Rattus norvegicus: one gene and its partners. The protein of the gene in region 3 binds, or shares a complex with, the protein of the main gene of each other region. Links are inferred from orthologs where the notes say so. Each region holds a gene or a part of one and is shown on either strand. Other genes may lie near its edges. The genes, in order: Ncf2, Cyba, Cybb, Cybc1 and Rac2.

Region 1 (4,229 bases), on a different chromosome or scaffold from region 3:
TGTGCCCTGATGACTTACAATGAGGTCAGACTTGCCTCCCCCTAACCCCCCCCCCCAGAAAAGCCTCTCGCATGATATTTCTTGCATAACTGCCCAGAAAGAGCAAGGCAGCCTTCCTACCCACAGAAGCTGGACGGTACTTATTGAATACCAAGTCTACCAGAACAAAGACCCAAAGGCCGCTGTCACACTCCGACACCACTTACTTCTCCATGCTGTAGTAGAGCATTCCTCGCTGGAAGTAAGCCACTGCCAAGTGCTTGTCTCTGTTGATGCTTTTGGTGAAGGCCTGCAGGGGGAAGGGTTACATGGCCACAGAGCCAGGCAGAGAGGAAGTGTAAGCATTGGCAGCAAGAGGCAAGATGTGTGTCATAATGATTCAGCAATGCAAGGTGACAAAATTGGCTTGGGGTATAGACATTTTGGGTCGAAATGCCCTGGGGTGTTATTTCCCCTTTGCATAGCCTGTGGTGAGTTACCTAATCTTCCTGAACCTCCCTGCTTTCCTCTGTAAAATAAGTGATGGGGACAGAGAGATGGCCCAGCAGATAAGAGTGCTTGCTGCTCCTCCAGAGGAAGAGTATAAAATTCCCAGCACCCACGTAGTGGCTTGCAACTATCTGCAGTCTAGTTCTAGAGGTTCTGATAGCCTCTTCTGCCCCCTTGAGAATCAGGTACACACATGGTCTCAAAACACCCACTCGCATTAAAATAATAATAATAATAATAGTGATATAGTTACAATGTATATTGTTTTTGTTTGATATAGATGTATTGTGTAACCATTTATAGCACTAAAATAATAAAACAAATAAGAATACATATATATAATATTATTTATATTGGATTAAACAGGAAAACAAGGGCAGAGGGGATAAGAGGTCTGGCAACAGAAAAATAGAAAGAAAGATCTTGACCAGTAAGGGTAGAAGCCAGTGATCTGAGGGTGTGAGGTGGCACAGCTTGGCCAAGAGTGCCAGGTCCAGGCCAGGGTGTGAGCACGCAGGGCCTATGTCAGAGCCTGGTCCTGGAGAGCTGCCTCCTTTTGTCCCCCAGCTCTGAGGATACAGCCCCATCCTGAGGGGAGGAGGTGGAGGAGGCAGTCCTCCCTCCAGGCAGAGGCTGGATGGGCCATACTCCCTGCCATATGCTTGCAGACCGTAGAGTCTAAGCATATCAAGTTACTTTCTCTCCTCCTGTCAGGGTGTGGGCAGTGTTTGTTCCCCTGCTGGCAAAAGGATGACCAGTGCGAACTGGTTCTTTGGAGGGGGCAGAGGCTGGGTAAATGGGTCAGTGGGTAAAATGCTGGCCTCGGAAGCTTGACAGCCTACAGAGTCCAGGTGGGAAAAAAACAAGCAGGTGTGGGGTCACATCCTTTCTAATCTAAGGCGGGGGACAGGTGGGGGTGGGGAGGACAGAGACAGGCTCTCTAACCAGCCAAGCCTAATGGGCAAGTTCTGGGCCAATAAGAGACTCTACCTAAAAGACAAAACAGCAGCAACAAGAAACAAAAACAAAAACAAAAACAAAACAGGGTGGACAGCTCCTGGCACTTGCTGTGCAATCCTGGAGGTTTGGGGTTGATCACTGGAACCCCGGTAAAAATAGACGGAACTCCACAAAGCTGTCCTTTGATTGACACATGTGTGCTGTGACATATGTAGCCACCTCTCTCTCTCTCATGCATACACACACACACACACACACACACACACACAATCAATCAATCAATCAATCAATCAATCAATCAATCAATCAATCAAGAGGCCTGGTGGGCATGTTGAACATCTTTGATACCAGCACTTCGGAGGCAGAGGCAGGCAGATCTCTGTGATTTTGTGAGTTCAAAGCCAACCTGATCTATAGATTGTGTCCTAGGATAACCAGGGCTCCTCAGAGAAACCCTGTCATAAAAAAAAAGGGGGTGGGGGGGGTTGGGGATTTAGCTCAGTGGTAGAGCGCTTGCCTAGCAAGCGCAAGGCCCTGGGTTCGGTCCCCAGCTCCGAAAAAAAAAGAAAAGAAAAAAAATCAAAATAAAATAAACAGAATTGGACATGTTCAACGCCAAACCAGAGAAAATGTATTTTAAAAACTTCAAAAGACATAGAAATACCTACCCCACACCCTTGGTGAACCTCATGACTTAATCACAGTGTGAGTTTCCTCAGCTAGCCTCAGAATCCTTACAGAAGTAACCTGCCTTGTTGATCAGAATTGTTCTTTGAGCAGGCCAAACTAATAGGATGGTAAGTCCCTAGAAGCCATAGAGGCATTTTAAAACTGGATGCCAGGGTAAGACAGAGAAAGCTTACCCAGGAGGCGCTGTCAAAGAGAGCACAGCTTAAGAAGTCTTCACAAAGGGTTAAAAGATGATCTTGGATAATGTAGAGATCTTGTAGAGCAGAGCCCCACCCTTGGGTGGCTCGGAAAAATCCTGCCCTGGGCGCTCTTAAAACTGCCTGCTCAGCCAGAGGCAGTTAGTTGGGGCCTCTGGGGTAGTTCTAGAAGGCTTTTGTTCCTTTAAGGCTTTGGAAGGTGAGGTTTCCAGAGGTCAGAAAGGCTATAATTACGGGCCCCTCGACTCACCTGCTCAGCCTCCTGCAGGTTGTCCAGGATGGTGTACATGCAGCCTATGTTGAAGCAAATCCTCGAGTGGGGGTCCTGCACCTCGCTGAAGGCCTCCAAGGCACCCTTCCAGTCCTTCTTGTCGGCTGCCTGCACCCCCTCATTCCAGAGCCTGATGGCCTCAGCTAGGGACATGGTTAGGTGCTTACTAGAAGACAGGATGGTAGTTCAAGGTGTCTCTCCTTAGAGCTACTGGCACCCCGGGCTTCAGCGTTCCAGCCTAGTGCACTGAATGGGGTCTAGCCTCCCTTTGGGCGGCTTCATAGCGTCAGGAAGTTTCCCCACCGTTCAGGAACTGACGCATAAGCTAGCATGAGAGAGAAAAGGAAAGAGAGAAGGCTGGAGGAGGCTGGCTAGGAAAGAGGAAGTACATCGGAGGCTGCCTGCCATGAGCCAGTCAGTTCCTCTAAGTGTTTTTGCTACGTCCTACTTGTCTCTGCCTCCCACACCCTCTGTGGCAGCTTCAGGTCAGGGGGACCTCAGCAGGTCTGGACATGCCCCTGTACTTGACTCTTTTCGTCCTTGGAAGACTTCCTTGCTCTCTGGTCCTCTCTCTCAGGTCTGGGTCTCAGGCTGTCGACACGCTTGTTTGTGGTCTGCGGATGTAACCCAGGCTCGTCTGAATTCCCAATTCCCATTCTGGAGTTATAGATGCACAACCAATAGACTAGCTGTTTTGTTTTTAAATCTGGAGGGGGGGGGTGAGGATCCATGCTACACATTCCTGAGACAGGGTGGGGCATCTTGAGTGTCCATTAGGGTCTGAGATAACTTTAAGGAAATACCCAGACTGGGAGGCAGACGTGACAGCCGTTATCATCTCTCCGTCTGTCTGTGAGAAGCTGAAGAGACGGCTCCTCGTATGACTAATGAGTTCACTAGTTTCTGTAAATACAGATTTCAGATTCCTTTACTTACTGCCCTGCTAACGTCTAAGTTAATTTAAAAACAAACCAACAAACAAACAAACAACAACAACCAAACTTTTCTGAGGAAAATCGAGGTAGGGTGTCTAAATGATGAAATCCGCTGAGGTCCGGACTCCTTGGTGGGTGAAACACAGTTCATGAGGGTCAGATGCATGAACGTTTCTAAGTCTTGTCTTGAGGCACCTGAAAGAACTCAGCACAGGGTTCGTAAAGGCAGGAGGGCTAAGAAGAAGAAGGCGCCGTTGCATAGCCTCGCCCCTGTCTCTGGCAGCCCTTCCTATCTCGCTTCTTTGCCTGGTCATCTCCTCAAGCTTCCAGGCTCACCCATCCAGTCTCCTTCCTGTGTCCATACCTGTGCGACAGCCCGCTCCACACTCTAGATTACCGAGGGAGTATTGTCCCTTTGTCTTACCTCCTCCTAAATAACGACCGTGTTTCCTCTCTACCTGCTTAGTTCTTAGGTCCCTTGAAATTTGGGACACTGCCCTTTATTCTCAGACCCTTGGCACTGGCTCTTAAGGAATGATGGAAGGAGTCAGAGTCTGGCCTGGTGACAGAGGCCTGCCACTCTGGCCATTTAAGAAGCTGAGACAAGGGCTGGAGAGATGGCTCAGCGGTTAAGAGCACCCGACTGCTCTTCCAGAGGTCATGAGTTCAATTCCCAGCAACCACATG
Region 2 (2,806 bases), on a different chromosome or scaffold from region 3:
GGTGTTTTTCTAGTCTCCTGTTCCCCGGGGGATGGGCAGAGAGACTCACAGTAAGTGGAGGACAGCCCGGACGTAGTAATTTCTGGTGAGGGGCCCGAACAGCTTCACCACAGCGGTCAGGTACTTCTGTCCACTAGACAGCGGGAAGACAAAAGATCAGAGGGTCAGCACCAACCGCACTCAGAATCCCTGGTCACTCCTTATCCGCCCCCTTCCAGGGTTCTAGGTCCTTTTCCTCCTGGGCACATGAGGCCTTGGGCTGGAAGCTCTGGACAAGTCAGTTGGCTCTGTGGGGGCAGGTCCCCAGGTAGGAGTGACTTACCACCGCTCCATGGTGGAGCCCTTTTTCCTCTTTCCCCGGGGGTACTCCAGCAGACAGATGAGCACTCCTGCAACACTGAGGTGAGGTTAAGGAAAGCCACGCTAGGCCTAGGCCAGGGTGTACTACTGCCTACAGGTAAGTCGAGGCACAGCTCCTGCCCCATACCTACCCTCCACCCCGTTCAGTTCTCAGGCACTGTCCAGCAAGGTGGGGCGGAGGCGATGTACTCCAGTCCAAACCTTGGGATCTTGGGCCTCAGCTCCATGTTTGCCCAAACCCCACCCTCTGTGACCTTTGGAAGTGGCTGTCCAGCCCTGGGCCATGGCTTCTAAAACTGCAGACAGGGCTGGCCCTGCTTCCGGAGGCTGTGGCGGAACAGCTTATGTGTAGTGCTCTTGTAAATTCACACACTAGTCCTGGAAGCGCTCTCATCACCTCACCCTCCTGGCCCCCAGTAGAAGGATACATAGAGTAAGCACCAAAGTACCACTGCGTGAAGCGTCCCGCAGTAGCCACGATGCCCCCTGTGATGAGGACTAAAGATGGAGGGTGGTGGTTAGGACTCACCACCTGCTGCAGGAGTGAGCCAGCTTGACCTTGCCCCTGGACTTGGGACCACCTCCAACTCTCTGCCTACTGGAGCAGGGCACTGTACGGCATGGGGTTCAGGGACAGAGAGGACACTCGGGGAGGTGGCCACAGCAAGCGGGACTCCATTAGCTGTTGGTGCTACACTCGGGTTGGAATGTCAACTCTTCTCAGCTACGCTGTTACTTCCTGGTCCTTCTGTACGTAGTACATACTGAGTTCCATCCCCGTCGGGGGTAGGGGGTGGGAGGTGGGTAATAGCTGGGCGCTGGTGGCACACACCTTCAGTCCCAGCACTCAGGAGGCAGAGGCAGGCAGGTCTCTGTGAGTTGGAGGCCAGCCTGGTCTACAGAGGAACTTCTAGGATAGACAGAACAACAGAGAAACCCTGTTTGGGGGCGGTGGGGAGGGGGACGGGGGGAGGGGAGGGGGAGGGGCACATTCCTGCAGTATCGAGCTACCCTCACCCCCACTAATGTCTCGGCCAGCCCATCCAAGACTTCCTTACAGTAGAATACACACGAGTTAGGCTTGGTTCCCCCATGGGACCACACAACTCACAACTTCCCTCATTTCAGGAAGTTCTTTCTTGTATCTGTGTCTTTGGCTCAGATGACGTTGAAGTGATGCGCTCTGTAAATCACCAGTGGCTCATGCTGGTTTTGCTGTCGATACCGGATGGTCTGGAACTCCTGGTCTCCCTCCCCCGTGTGCTTGGGTTGCAGGCAGGGACCACCACACCCTGCTTCTTAACTAACTTTTAAAAATCGATCTCGTGTTCTAGTATATGAAATCAACCACGATTTACTGATGTGCTTCTCCCGTCTTTGGGATTTTGAGGGCTTCTGATCTAGGGCGATGGGTAAAGTAATGTGATTGTGCCTTTACACTTTCCTTGACCAATCGTAAGAGTGCATGGAAGGTATTTTGTGGAATTGGCAAGATGAGGGAGCGAGGAAAGGCACTTGCCACCACCAAGCCCGAAGACCCGAGTTCATCCCGACGGGATCCATCAGGAGAGAACGACTCCGTAAGTTGCCCTTTGACCTCCATAGGCTTACTATCTTAGCACCGTGGTGAACAACTATAATCGGAGTACTGGGGAGGTAGAGGCAAGATGGTCAGAGTTCAAGGCTAACCCCATGAGTTTGAGAACAGCCTGGGCTACAAGTGATTGTGGCTCAAACGAACCAGTGAAGGCTAGAGAAGTGGCTAGGTTGGTGGGGTGCTTACCTAGCGTGCACGAAGCTCTCAATGCAACCCCCAGGACTGCATAAACTGGACATGGTGGACTGGTAGGTAACCTCAACACTTGGAAGGTGGAGGCAGGAAGACATGAGTTCAAGGCCAGCCTCCCTTACATAGTACGCGCCAGGACAGGCTGGGATACACGAGTCCCTGAAATCCTAGTACTTGGGAGATGGCTGTGAGAGGACCAGGAATTCAAAGTCATCTTCTGCTACAGAGTGAACCTGAGACCAACCTGAAACCCTGTCTCAAAACAAACGGATAAATAAAAGCTAGGAGTCTGTTGTAGGCTTCGGAAGACCGTGATGCACCTGGCGTAAGGAGCATCTGAAGATGTCGGTTACGAAAGAGCTGGAGAGATGGCTCAGTGTTTAAGAGAACCGCCTGCTCTTCCAATGTATTGTTTTCTTAGCTAGGTGTGGTCATGTCTGCAACCTCCACACCCCTGAGGCTAAGCTAGAAGAATCACAGATTCCAGGTCAATACTATTTCAAACAATAAGCAAAAATTAAAAAAAATTTTTTCTTTCTATTCTAGAAGTTTGCAGTAAGTTTTACTCAGACTAAATATATGTGTGTGTGTGTATATATATATACATATACACAACATATATATATATATACACATGTATATATATACACAGCAGAT
Region 3 (3,520 bases):
ACAAAGAGTCTTGATTTTTCTAGTTAATGTGGGGACTAAACTGGAAGCAGTGGGATTAGTAAAGTGGGGAGGGGAAGACAAGCTTTCTCCCTTGAAGGATTCTCTGAGATAGCTGAATTGTGAGCAAGTTCCAGGGAAAGGCACTCGGTTGCTTTAGGAGACTCAGCAGATCCTCCACTCCTACAGACCTCTCAGTGCTTAGAAAGAGTTTCACAGTGGTGCAAATCAGGAAGTAGGTGAAGAATGCACACAGAAGTTGGCCACAGTTGTTTTTCTTCTATCCTTCCTCTTTTCACTCTCAAGACTTGGTCACCCCTAGTTTACTTGAATTGAGCTTTGCATATTCTCTTTCCCTCCCCCTGTGTTCCTGGAACTCTATACCCATTATGGAATGTTCCTGGCCTTGGCTTTTATGTGCAGGTGGTGCGAAAGAGTAGAAAAAATGAAACTTGATATTAAAGCAGTTTTTCCAAGCATAAAGTCAAGCACTGTGTGTCCTTATGAGAGTTTTCACCGCAGCCCACTCAAAACCACCTGTTCTCTAGGCTACTCACCAGCCTGGAGTGGCTTGGCCCACATTTTACCATTTTTACCTTTGGGTTCCACATCTACACATGAGATGGTTAAAAGAAACATTGAATATCAAGTTCTTAGTGCTGAACATAGAGTTTGGTGGAAGTTAATTAGTTTTTATCATATTTGAAATTTTGAAGGTAATGCCCATGTATTTTTCTAGCTAGCATTCCTCCCTAATTCCTGAGGTAGATTCTCATACCCAGTAGGAAACCAGTAGTGATTCAGCTACTGCTGAAACTGCTTCAGCTGATTAATCACTAATTCCTCTACCTTGGGATTTTGCCTAACCTACTCATGATTTATCTGTAGGAAGCATTGAGGTGGTCATCCAAGACCAAACCAATGATTTCAGTAAAGTATGGCCATGCAGAGAGTAGACTACCTTTCTTCTCTTTAGGCAAGAATATAGTGGGCAATCTACACAAATAATGGCCTTGAGACAAACCATAGTCAGTGTATTTTATACACGAGGTATATATTTCAAGCTTATTTTAAATCACCCATTATGAATTGCATGGGTACAATAAGAAAGCAAAAACCATTGCTGGGGTTTTTTGGGGGGAGGTTGTCTTTTTTTTTTTTTTTGACTGACCTCAACTGTTCTCTCCTGTGCCTTTCCTTGGTCAAAACATCTAGAAAGTGAAACCAAAGTATTTGGCAATGGAGTTAGAGAACTCACTCAGCTCCATGGATGGCAAGGCCGATGAAGAAGATCACAAAGAGATGGTGTGTATACCAGAACACTTCAAAGTAAGACCTCCGAATGGTTTTGGTGGAGGATGTGATGATCAATATAAGACACAGTGTGATGACAATTCCTGTGATGCCAGCCAACCGAGTCACAGCCACATACAGGCCCCCTTCAGGGTTCTGGAAAATAGAAACACACAAGCTCAGAACTGTAAGAGTATCCATTTTAAAGCTGTTTATATAAGGCATTTCCAGTCCCTTTGGTTATTATAATTATATCTCTCAGTGTTGAGATTTCCAAATTTAAATTGTCTTACATTATTGGGGAGTCACAGATAAAGAACAACATTCAGATGATTCTAGTGGAGTTTGACTTAGTAAAAGGTGTCTTCAAAATGTCTCATGCTCTCTCTCTCTTTGACTTGGAAAGGCTACAGTACATAGTTAGCCAATGAATTCTTACTACACCTTCCACTGGAGGCTGGCTTCACTATGTGTAGATGCTTAGATGAGAGTTTGGGGGTAAAGTTGACCTTATAGATGGTCTTTCACTATGTCTACTTTCAGGTAACAGAAAAAACATGGTAAAAATGTGTAGAACCAGAGAATAGGTGCTCTAGAGCAGACTGGGATGCACAGAGTTGCACAGGGTCAGGGCGAAGATATCCCTGCCCCCAGGCCCCGTGAGACTGGCCCCCACCTTTATTGTCTCCAATCTCGGAGAATTCTATTGAACAAAGATGAGAAAACGTCATATACTCAGGCATACACAAACCAATCTGAGAGTTTGTACTCATAATTTGTACTGACTAAAGGAAAGGGAGCTGGATGCCAACACCGACACTCATTGGTTATTTGACGAAGGCTTCTCAGGGAGCAGTAATTGTCCAGATGCTTTCAGATCACATCCTTACACAAAGAGAAACTTCAAGTCTCAAGGCAGTCCTTAGAAGAGGAGGGGGCTTTAGTGATTGAAAAGGAAAACATTCTGGAGGAAACACAAAGCCAGTAAAAGTGACCCAAGGAAATCTGGACAGATCATGACAGTGTTTGTTCAACTAATATGTTCAATATAACTCATTGAGAAAACAATGAGCAATGGAAAGAAAAATCATCCATGATATAACAGAAAAAAAGGATGAGTCATGCCAGCTTCTGTCATGTCAGTTTGAATGTAAAATTTGGGGCAAAATTAAAGTTCTTTGTTTTGTAGCTGTTTTTGTAAACATGGAAAATGTGTTTGAAATTCAACTGGGGAAGTTGACTGTCTCCCTAAGCCACTGGGTTCATAAAAATGGCATAAGCTCCTTTCTGAATATAAGAACCGGGGGGTAGGAGATATTTTTTACATTTATATTCTAAATTACTAGCAAACTTTCTTTGTTGGTTTTTATGGAGAAATTATTGGTTTTTTTTCATTCAGTAAAATGAAGTCCTCTGTTCTAACAGCCCGGCAAACAACTGAATCAGAGAAGGGAGGCTCACCTTGATTTTTTCTCTAGCAAAATTGAGATACTCTTCATTTTCTTTGTCTCCAATGTTAGAGAGTGCTACTGAATATGGGTCCGAAGTCCCGACTCTGGCATTCACACACCACTCCACGTTGAACAGATGTGCAATGGTGTGAATGGCTGAAGAGGGCAGGGAAAAGACACAATGAGGGGAGAAGGAAGTACCACATCAGTTCTGCCTATAGCCTCTAACTCTCAAGAGAACCAAAGGGATGAGGCCTAGGATTCAGTAAAGACACTGGGTCCCAATAACCACAGAAGTAAGGCAAGCCTAGTAGGTCAGCTTCGTTCTGCCTGTGCTACTGTGGAAAAACCATACAGCCTTTCTGGTATTGGTTCCCTTATTTGTGAAATGAAGGGGTTGAACTAATGTTTCCAAAGAGCCAGCCAACCAATTTTTAAGAGTATACATTTGATAGATTCACAGCTTCTCTTCTTCCCTCATGTGTTTGTGCTCAAATGAGAAAAGCACCCATGTAATGTCTGCTTCATCATCTCCAGAGAGTAGTGGTGGGCATAATTGAATTAATACAAACTTACGACCATCAATCAGCATGAGTCTCTTAAGTTAAAAAGAAATTGCTCGCCTAACTGGGCTGCCTTGTCTGGCCTCAGCAAGAAAGATGTGCCTAGTCCTACAGATACTGATGTGCCAGGGTGAGGGAATACCTAGTGGGAGGCCTCCCCCTTCTCAGATGAAAAGGAAGTAGGGGAGGAGCTGCAGGAGGGGTGACTGGGACTCA
Region 4 (2,180 bases), on a different chromosome or scaffold from region 3:
GTGATGAGTTTGGCAATGGCTTCCACGTCACTAGGCAATCATCAAGAAAGCAGGTCACCTTGGCAAAGGGTGCAGTTCCACAACACACCACAAAAGACCCACGCTATCTCATCCCCTGCAGTACACCTACATCACCCCCCCCCCCCCGTGGTCTCAAATGAGCCCAGTATCTCTGGCCTCAGTCCTACTCTCACTGAAGCCCCAACCCTGTTCTGATGCCTCCTCTACAGACAGCTGCAGCAAAGCTGCTCCTAAGCACATACATCCTGATCAGAGCCCCACACCCTGTCTACAACACTGAGAAACACTAAGGGATAGCCCAGTCTTGCTTTATGCCAATCTTACCTGCGTCGGCCCATGACTGCACTCTGAGTAAGGGGGTGGGAGAAGCCTGTTGCAAACCGGAGCACCACCATGTAGCCCTTCCCAAAGTAACGGACCTTTTCCTCCTCCACATTCACATCCTGGATGTCTTTCAACAGGACCACCACTGGGGACAGAAGGGTTTGCTGATGAGCAGTCTCCCTATGCTCTTATCCAATGCTCTCAACCTATGCCACGCACAGCACAGCCTGCTGAACAGTGGGAGTAGCATTAGTGACAAAAGCATTTACTAGTTCACCTTCAGGACTGTGGACCCAGACTAACTTCTGGATAAGGATACTCAGGAGACCCATTACAGCTGCAGTTTCAGGCAGACACTGGCTTTCCTGAGCAGTCCCACAACAGGGATCACTAAGCTCAAGTTGCTATCTTCATGAAACCTGTCTGGTTCCAGTGGGGTAGCCCCGCTAGTTAGTTCTGTGCACAGAGAAACCATCGCTTAACTAATACATGGCTGATACTGCTTTCCCAAGAGCCCCTGGGAAACCTATCTCATCTCACTGTCACAGTGACAAGGGGGATGACCATGTGGCTTGGAGCCCGTGGGTACTGGCTCTCAAATGTGCAAGGGCTTCCAACAAGCAGCCTACGGGGAAGTTCAAACAGTGCACTAACTCACACCCACAAACCAGCTCTGGTCTTCATCTGCGCCACATTCAGCTATACACTGCCAGCGCTCGATATGAGTTAAGAGGCCTGGATGCTTTGGGGTCTAACTTTTCATGTTAAAAGCACATAGAGTTTACTTGCATATTTTTAATGAGCAGTAGCTGAGCTGGATACATAATGGGGGAGACCTATGAGAACCTGCTACTTCATAACTAGGCTACCTTCCAAGCCCATAAGCTCAAGGGTTGCGGGGTTCCTTTAACCATTTTCTCACTGCAGGGCTGGCAGAGCTGACAATCAGGTACAGGATAATCAAGAAAGGCCAAGTGGTTCCTGAAGACTCTTCTCCTGTCACCCTCGCCCAACCTAGGAGAGCTGCCAAGGAGTGTCCATCCTTCCTGACAGGCTGAGTTCTGAAGTAGGCAAAACACCTGTCTGGATCTGTCCCGGCAAGCCAGGATATGTCCGCGGGACCCTCATTCCTCGAGCAGTTGAACTTGGATCCAAGCCATCCAGGCCTCACCAAACCTTCACCAACCTGTAGGTTCCCACATCTTACCTTGATCATGGCCCGCTCTGAGAAGAGTCAGCAGCTTCTTGTAGAGGCTGAATGTTTTTAAGATGACCTTCCCAGTGCTCTTGTTGAAAATGGCCTCCTGCAAACGAATGCATGCTAACCACACACAGAACTCTAGGTAGAGAGCCAAGCTGATGCTGAGGTACAGCCCCACCACACTGGTACAAATACAAAGCTTTCCCAGTAGAAACCCAAAGCCTCCAGGACTCTTCCAGAGCCTACTTCTGTGCCTGACATCTGGTACTCCCCTGTGAGTAAGGGGCACACGAAAGAAAGCAGATACAGTGGATGTCCTTTTCTCTTTGAGTGAGAACAGGACCAGGCTGGGGAATCTAGCCCAGTGGTAGAGCACTTGCCCAGCAGGTATGAGGCCCCAGGTTCAATCCTCAGTACTGGGTAAATAAAAGAATAAAAGGAAAGGATGGTAATGAGGCCATTAAGCAAATGCAGAAGCCCCAGTCAGGAAGCTTCATGAATTCTGACAAGTTCAAGACTAAGGGAAGGGGGCTTCCCCAAAAGGTACCACCTGACTTAACAGGTTCAGATTTCTGTCAGCTATTATAGGTGTATAGTGAGGACCAAGCCCTCAACCCCTGAACCTCAAAGCCTA
Region 5 (2,937 bases), on a different chromosome or scaffold from region 3:
CGGTAGTGGTAGAAAGGACACTTACCATGACCTCTGACTGTCGAGGTTAGAGATCCCTATTAGACCCCCTCAAGAATTTACCCACACTCACTCACTCACTCACCCTATATCCACGCTTCCTGGTGTCACCTCTACTAATGGCTCTAACCCAACTCATGGTCAGTCACAGCACAGTGTCTCTCTCTCTCTCTCTCTCTCTCTCTCTCTCTCTCTCAATCACACACACACACACACACACACACACACACACACACACAAACACACCGGTGTGATTGAGGGTGGGCCTAAGACAAGCTGGTCCAATCAGAGTAGCCCTTCCTTAGAACTTGCCCAGGGCAGACTTCACCTGAACTTGACCTCAGAGGATCAAGTCCCAAGAATCAACAGCCAGAAAGTGAGCCTAGCAGGCAGAACCAAAATGGACGGGAAGGCAAGGTCCGTGGTATGGTCTGAACCCTCTGCCCCACCTTGATCAAGCTGCGCCTGAACTCATAGCACGTCCACCGAGAATCAACACATTTATTTTCTGCATAAGCAAGAGACTTGTGTTTTCCATTTGCTATGGCAGGTGGGGTGGGCAGTGCCAAGAGGGTGCAGCCCCACCCTTCGAGTAGCATAGGAAGCCTTGAGAGACTGTAGGGGTCAGCTGAGCTCAGACCCTCACTTGGCTGGGCAGATCAGAGATTTACCAAAATAGATTGGTTCTGTGTTTTTCTGACAAAGGAAGACAGAGGAGCAGACTTCCACATCTCTCCCTTTGGTTCAGGGAAGGAGGTGTTCCAACAAGGCGAACACCGTGGTGACAGGCCACAGAGACCGGAAGCTTCGAGAGAGGCGTCAGAAAGGCCTGGAGCAGGTGGGTGCATGATGCTGTATGACATGAGGATGGATGGCTGAGTCTTGGGGCTCCCCTCTGGTCCCTGGGAACACAGGAATCTTCCGGGTAGGATGTGACCTATCAACATCACCCCATACCCTGGGACCTCCATGGAGGAGAGAGGCAAGTTCTGCAGATGACTGTGAAGAAACACCACACACAGGGGACAGCATGTCCCACCAGTATATCGCTGGGCTTTGGTGGGGAGCCCTGGAGGGTCAGGACCGTGGGAGTGGGAAGACTGGGAAGACACCTGGAAGGGAGACAGGAAAGGGTCAGTGTCGAGGACAGACACATCCCAGCTCAGGGCCATTCAGGCCCATGGCTGCTTTCAATGGCTGTCTCCCCCAGAGCTCTCTTCCTCTCCTCCCCACGCACCCCCGCATATCCCACCCAGGGTATTCTTGGGGTTCCCCAGTGTCATTAGATTTTTGTGACAAGGACAGGCTAAATGAGAGGCAGGAAACTCCTGTGTCCTGGTTTAAGTCACTGGACAGGTTCTGGCTTGCTTGGGTTGAATCCGGAAAGGAAGAGCTTCACAGGCAGTGACAAAGAGGGGAGACTGAGGCTACCTAGGTACCCATGGCCCTCTGTCCTGGTCTAACACTCAGTGACCTGAGGGCTGGCCCTAGGGTAGGGTACCCTTCCAGCAGTGGAGAGCTGTATACCCCTAGAGCAGGCTGCAGGGGCGTTTCTGCTGCCGTGTGGGCTGTGGGCACAGGACTGCTCGGATTGCCTCATCGAAGACGGTCTTCAGGCCTCGCTGGGTGAGTGCAGAACATTCCAAGTACTTCACTGAATCTGAGGAGGGACAGCGGGAGAGCAGGGGCCTGAGTCATGGAGAGGCTGTGTCTACCCGAGTGGGGAGTTATCACCTGAGTGCGGAGTATCACCCAAGGGAGTATCCCTTGAATGTGAGTATCATCTGAGTGGGGAGTATCACCCAAGAGGCAATATGCCTCTCTGTACTTCATCTCCCTCCTATAGGACTCAGTGGGAATAGTGAAAGACCCCCACAGACACAAAGGTTTGGAAGGTGGATAGGACCTGCTTCCATGACAAGAACCAAATCCCTCACGGCCTTCCTTATGAAGCTGACACCTCTGAGCAGGTCTGAGGACACCCTAATACATATATCAATTATGGGCAAACCCAATTTATGGGCAAACCAGGGCTAACAGAGACTGTGGGACCTGCCTGCCCCAGGGCAGCTCAGTGAAGGGAAGAAATTATTGAGGTCTTCTGTGCAGTCCCGAGGACAGGCCCCTGGAGGCATCTGCATGACTACCCACCCCCTCCAACCTGAGCCCAGGGCCCTGACACAGAGGCTGGGAGACACAGAGTCCTGGGGAAGGAAAGGGGAAGGAAGGGAGCCCGGTGCCATCCCTGACTCCTTCTGCTCTCCTTTCTGAGTTAGGAGCTTCTGACAGCTGAGGAACTGGCGGCCCTCCCCACCTCACTGGGCCCAGAGCAGAGCAGCCACAGGCCCAAAGGTGCAGAACTGCAATGAGGGGTCACCCCTGGAGGGGAGCCACTGAAGCCAAGGCTTGGGAGACAGCAAGGAGGGAACGGAGCTCTGGGAGCCAGACACTGTGCAGCCACTGCAGGGTGTTTCTTGTTTCTGGAAAGTTCTCATGGCTCGCTATTCCCACTGAGAAGATGAAGCCAGGGTCCTTCCCTGGTGTCCAGCTGCTTATTCCAGAGATGGCTCTAGGTAGGGGCTTAAGGCCTCTGTCCCTCGGGGTTCCCCATCCTTGTGGTGACCAGTGGTGAGGCACTCTGAACCTGGGGTCCTAGGCTTATCCTCTCAGAAGCTGGAAAGGAGGGGATTTCTGTTCCCCACAGAGGATGAAATAGCCTCAGGGAGAAATGTCACAGGCTGAAGAACACACACTCTCTCTCCCTCCCCCCTTCTTTCTCTCTCTCTCTCTCCCCCCGACATACCACACACACACACACACACACACACACACACACACACACACACACACACACAGTCTAAGACCCAGATCAGAGGAGCTCACAGGCAATCGATGATGCAGGAAGGAATGGACCCCATT

Evidence for each region.
Region 1: Cybb (region 3) and Ncf2 share a complex: the UniProt entries of both Homo sapiens proteins name them as parts of the phagocyte NADPH oxidase complex. The link is inferred for Rattus norvegicus from reciprocal best matches to the Homo sapiens genes CYBB and NCF2.
Region 2: the proteins of Cybb (region 3) and Cyba are in contact, whole or in part, in a cryo-EM structure (PDB 8X2L), measured with the Homo sapiens proteins. The link is inferred for Rattus norvegicus from reciprocal best matches to the Homo sapiens genes CYBB and CYBA. Residues at the interface, in NP_000388.2 of Homo sapiens: Thr116, Ile117, Leu120, Phe121, Val123, Glu124, Asn128, Asn133, Lys161, Asn162, Pro163, Gly166, Leu167, Ala170, Val180, Thr183, Leu184, Ile187, Leu188, Thr191, Ser192, Thr194, Lys195, Thr196, Ile197, Arg199, Ser200, Tyr201, Glu203, Val204; in NP_000092.2 of Homo sapiens: Gln3, Ile4, Glu5, Trp6, Met8, Trp9, Glu12, Gln13, Ala16, Ile20, Thr23, Val27, Gly31, Phe33, Thr34, Gln35, Arg56, Arg59, Met65, Gly102, Phe103, Leu104, Leu105, Ala106, Ile108, Leu109, Ala112, Cys113, Ile116.
Region 4: the proteins of Cybb (region 3) and Cybc1 are in contact, whole or in part, in a cryo-EM structure (PDB 8KEI), measured with the Homo sapiens proteins. The link is inferred for Rattus norvegicus from reciprocal best matches to the Homo sapiens genes CYBB and CYBC1. Residues at the interface, in NP_000388.2 of Homo sapiens: Trp28, Asn74, Leu75, Leu76, Ser77, Phe78, Leu79, Arg80, Gly81, Ser82, Ser83, Ala84, Cys85, Cys86, Trp206, His210, Phe212, Pro266, Met268, Trp270, Lys271, Ile273, Tyr280, Tyr324, Phe326, Lys328, Leu335, Glu336, Trp337, His338; in NP_001028218.1 of Homo sapiens: Arg22, Leu26, Ala37, Ser41, Gly42, Asp43, Trp47, Phe50, Tyr51, Phe57, Gln61, Asn62, Glu64, Lys77, His97, Asp98, Gln99, Val100, Val101, Val102, Leu103, Arg108, Ser111, Glu115, Val117, Arg118, Tyr119, Phe120, Arg129, Ala131.
Region 5: Cybb (region 3) and Rac2 share a complex: the UniProt entries of both Homo sapiens proteins name them as parts of the phagocyte NADPH oxidase complex. The link is inferred for Rattus norvegicus from reciprocal best matches to the Homo sapiens genes CYBB and RAC2.

Annotation. Positions count from the first base shown.
Region 1 is NC_086031.1:67,504,069-67,508,297, reverse strand, and holds the start of Ncf2 (neutrophil cytosol factor 2), read right to left. Parts: upstream 2,807-4,229; 5' UTR 2,761-2,806; coding exon 2,587-2,760; intron 290-2,586; coding exon 207-289; intron 1-206. UniProt on the Homo sapiens protein: Subunit of the phagocyte NADPH oxidase complex that mediates the transfer of electrons from cytosolic NADPH to O2 to produce the superoxide anion (O2(-)).
Region 2 is NC_086037.1:67,398,421-67,401,226, forward strand, and holds part of Cyba (cytochrome b-245 light chain), read right to left. Parts: intron 859-2,806; coding exon 789-858; intron 398-788; coding exon 323-397; intron 134-322; coding exon 50-133; intron 1-49. UniProt on the Homo sapiens protein: Subunit of NADPH oxidase complexes that is required for the NADPH oxidase activity that generates, in various cell types, superoxide from molecular oxygen utilizing NADPH as an electron donor.
Region 3 is NC_086039.1:16,048,051-16,051,570, forward strand, and holds part of Cybb (cytochrome b-245 beta chain), read right to left. Parts: intron 2,898-3,520; coding exon 2,752-2,897; intron 1,447-2,751; coding exon 1,256-1,446; intron 1-1,255. UniProt on the Homo sapiens protein: Catalytic subunit of the phagocyte NADPH oxidase complex that mediates the transfer of electrons from cytosolic NADPH to O2 to produce the superoxide anion (O2(-)).
Region 4 is NC_086028.1:106,998,665-107,000,844, forward strand, and holds part of Cybc1 (cytochrome b-245 chaperone 1), read right to left. Parts: exon of another isoform or gene 1,650-2,180; coding exon 1,553-1,649; exon of another isoform or gene 491-1,552; coding exon 346-490; exon of another isoform or gene 31-345; coding exon 1-30. UniProt on the Homo sapiens protein: Functions as a chaperone necessary for a stable expression of the CYBA and CYBB subunits of the cytochrome b-245 heterodimer. Controls the phagocyte respiratory burst and is essential for innate immunity.
Region 5 is NC_086025.1:111,996,239-111,999,175, forward strand, and holds the end of Rac2 (ras-related C3 botulinum toxin substrate 2), read right to left. Parts: exon of another isoform or gene 2,731-2,937; intron 1,679-2,730; coding exon 1,548-1,678; 3' UTR 1,546-1,547; exon of another isoform or gene 1,520-1,545; intron 1,131-1,519; 3' UTR 506-1,130; downstream 1-505. UniProt on the Homo sapiens protein: Plasma membrane-associated small GTPase which cycles between an active GTP-bound and inactive GDP-bound state.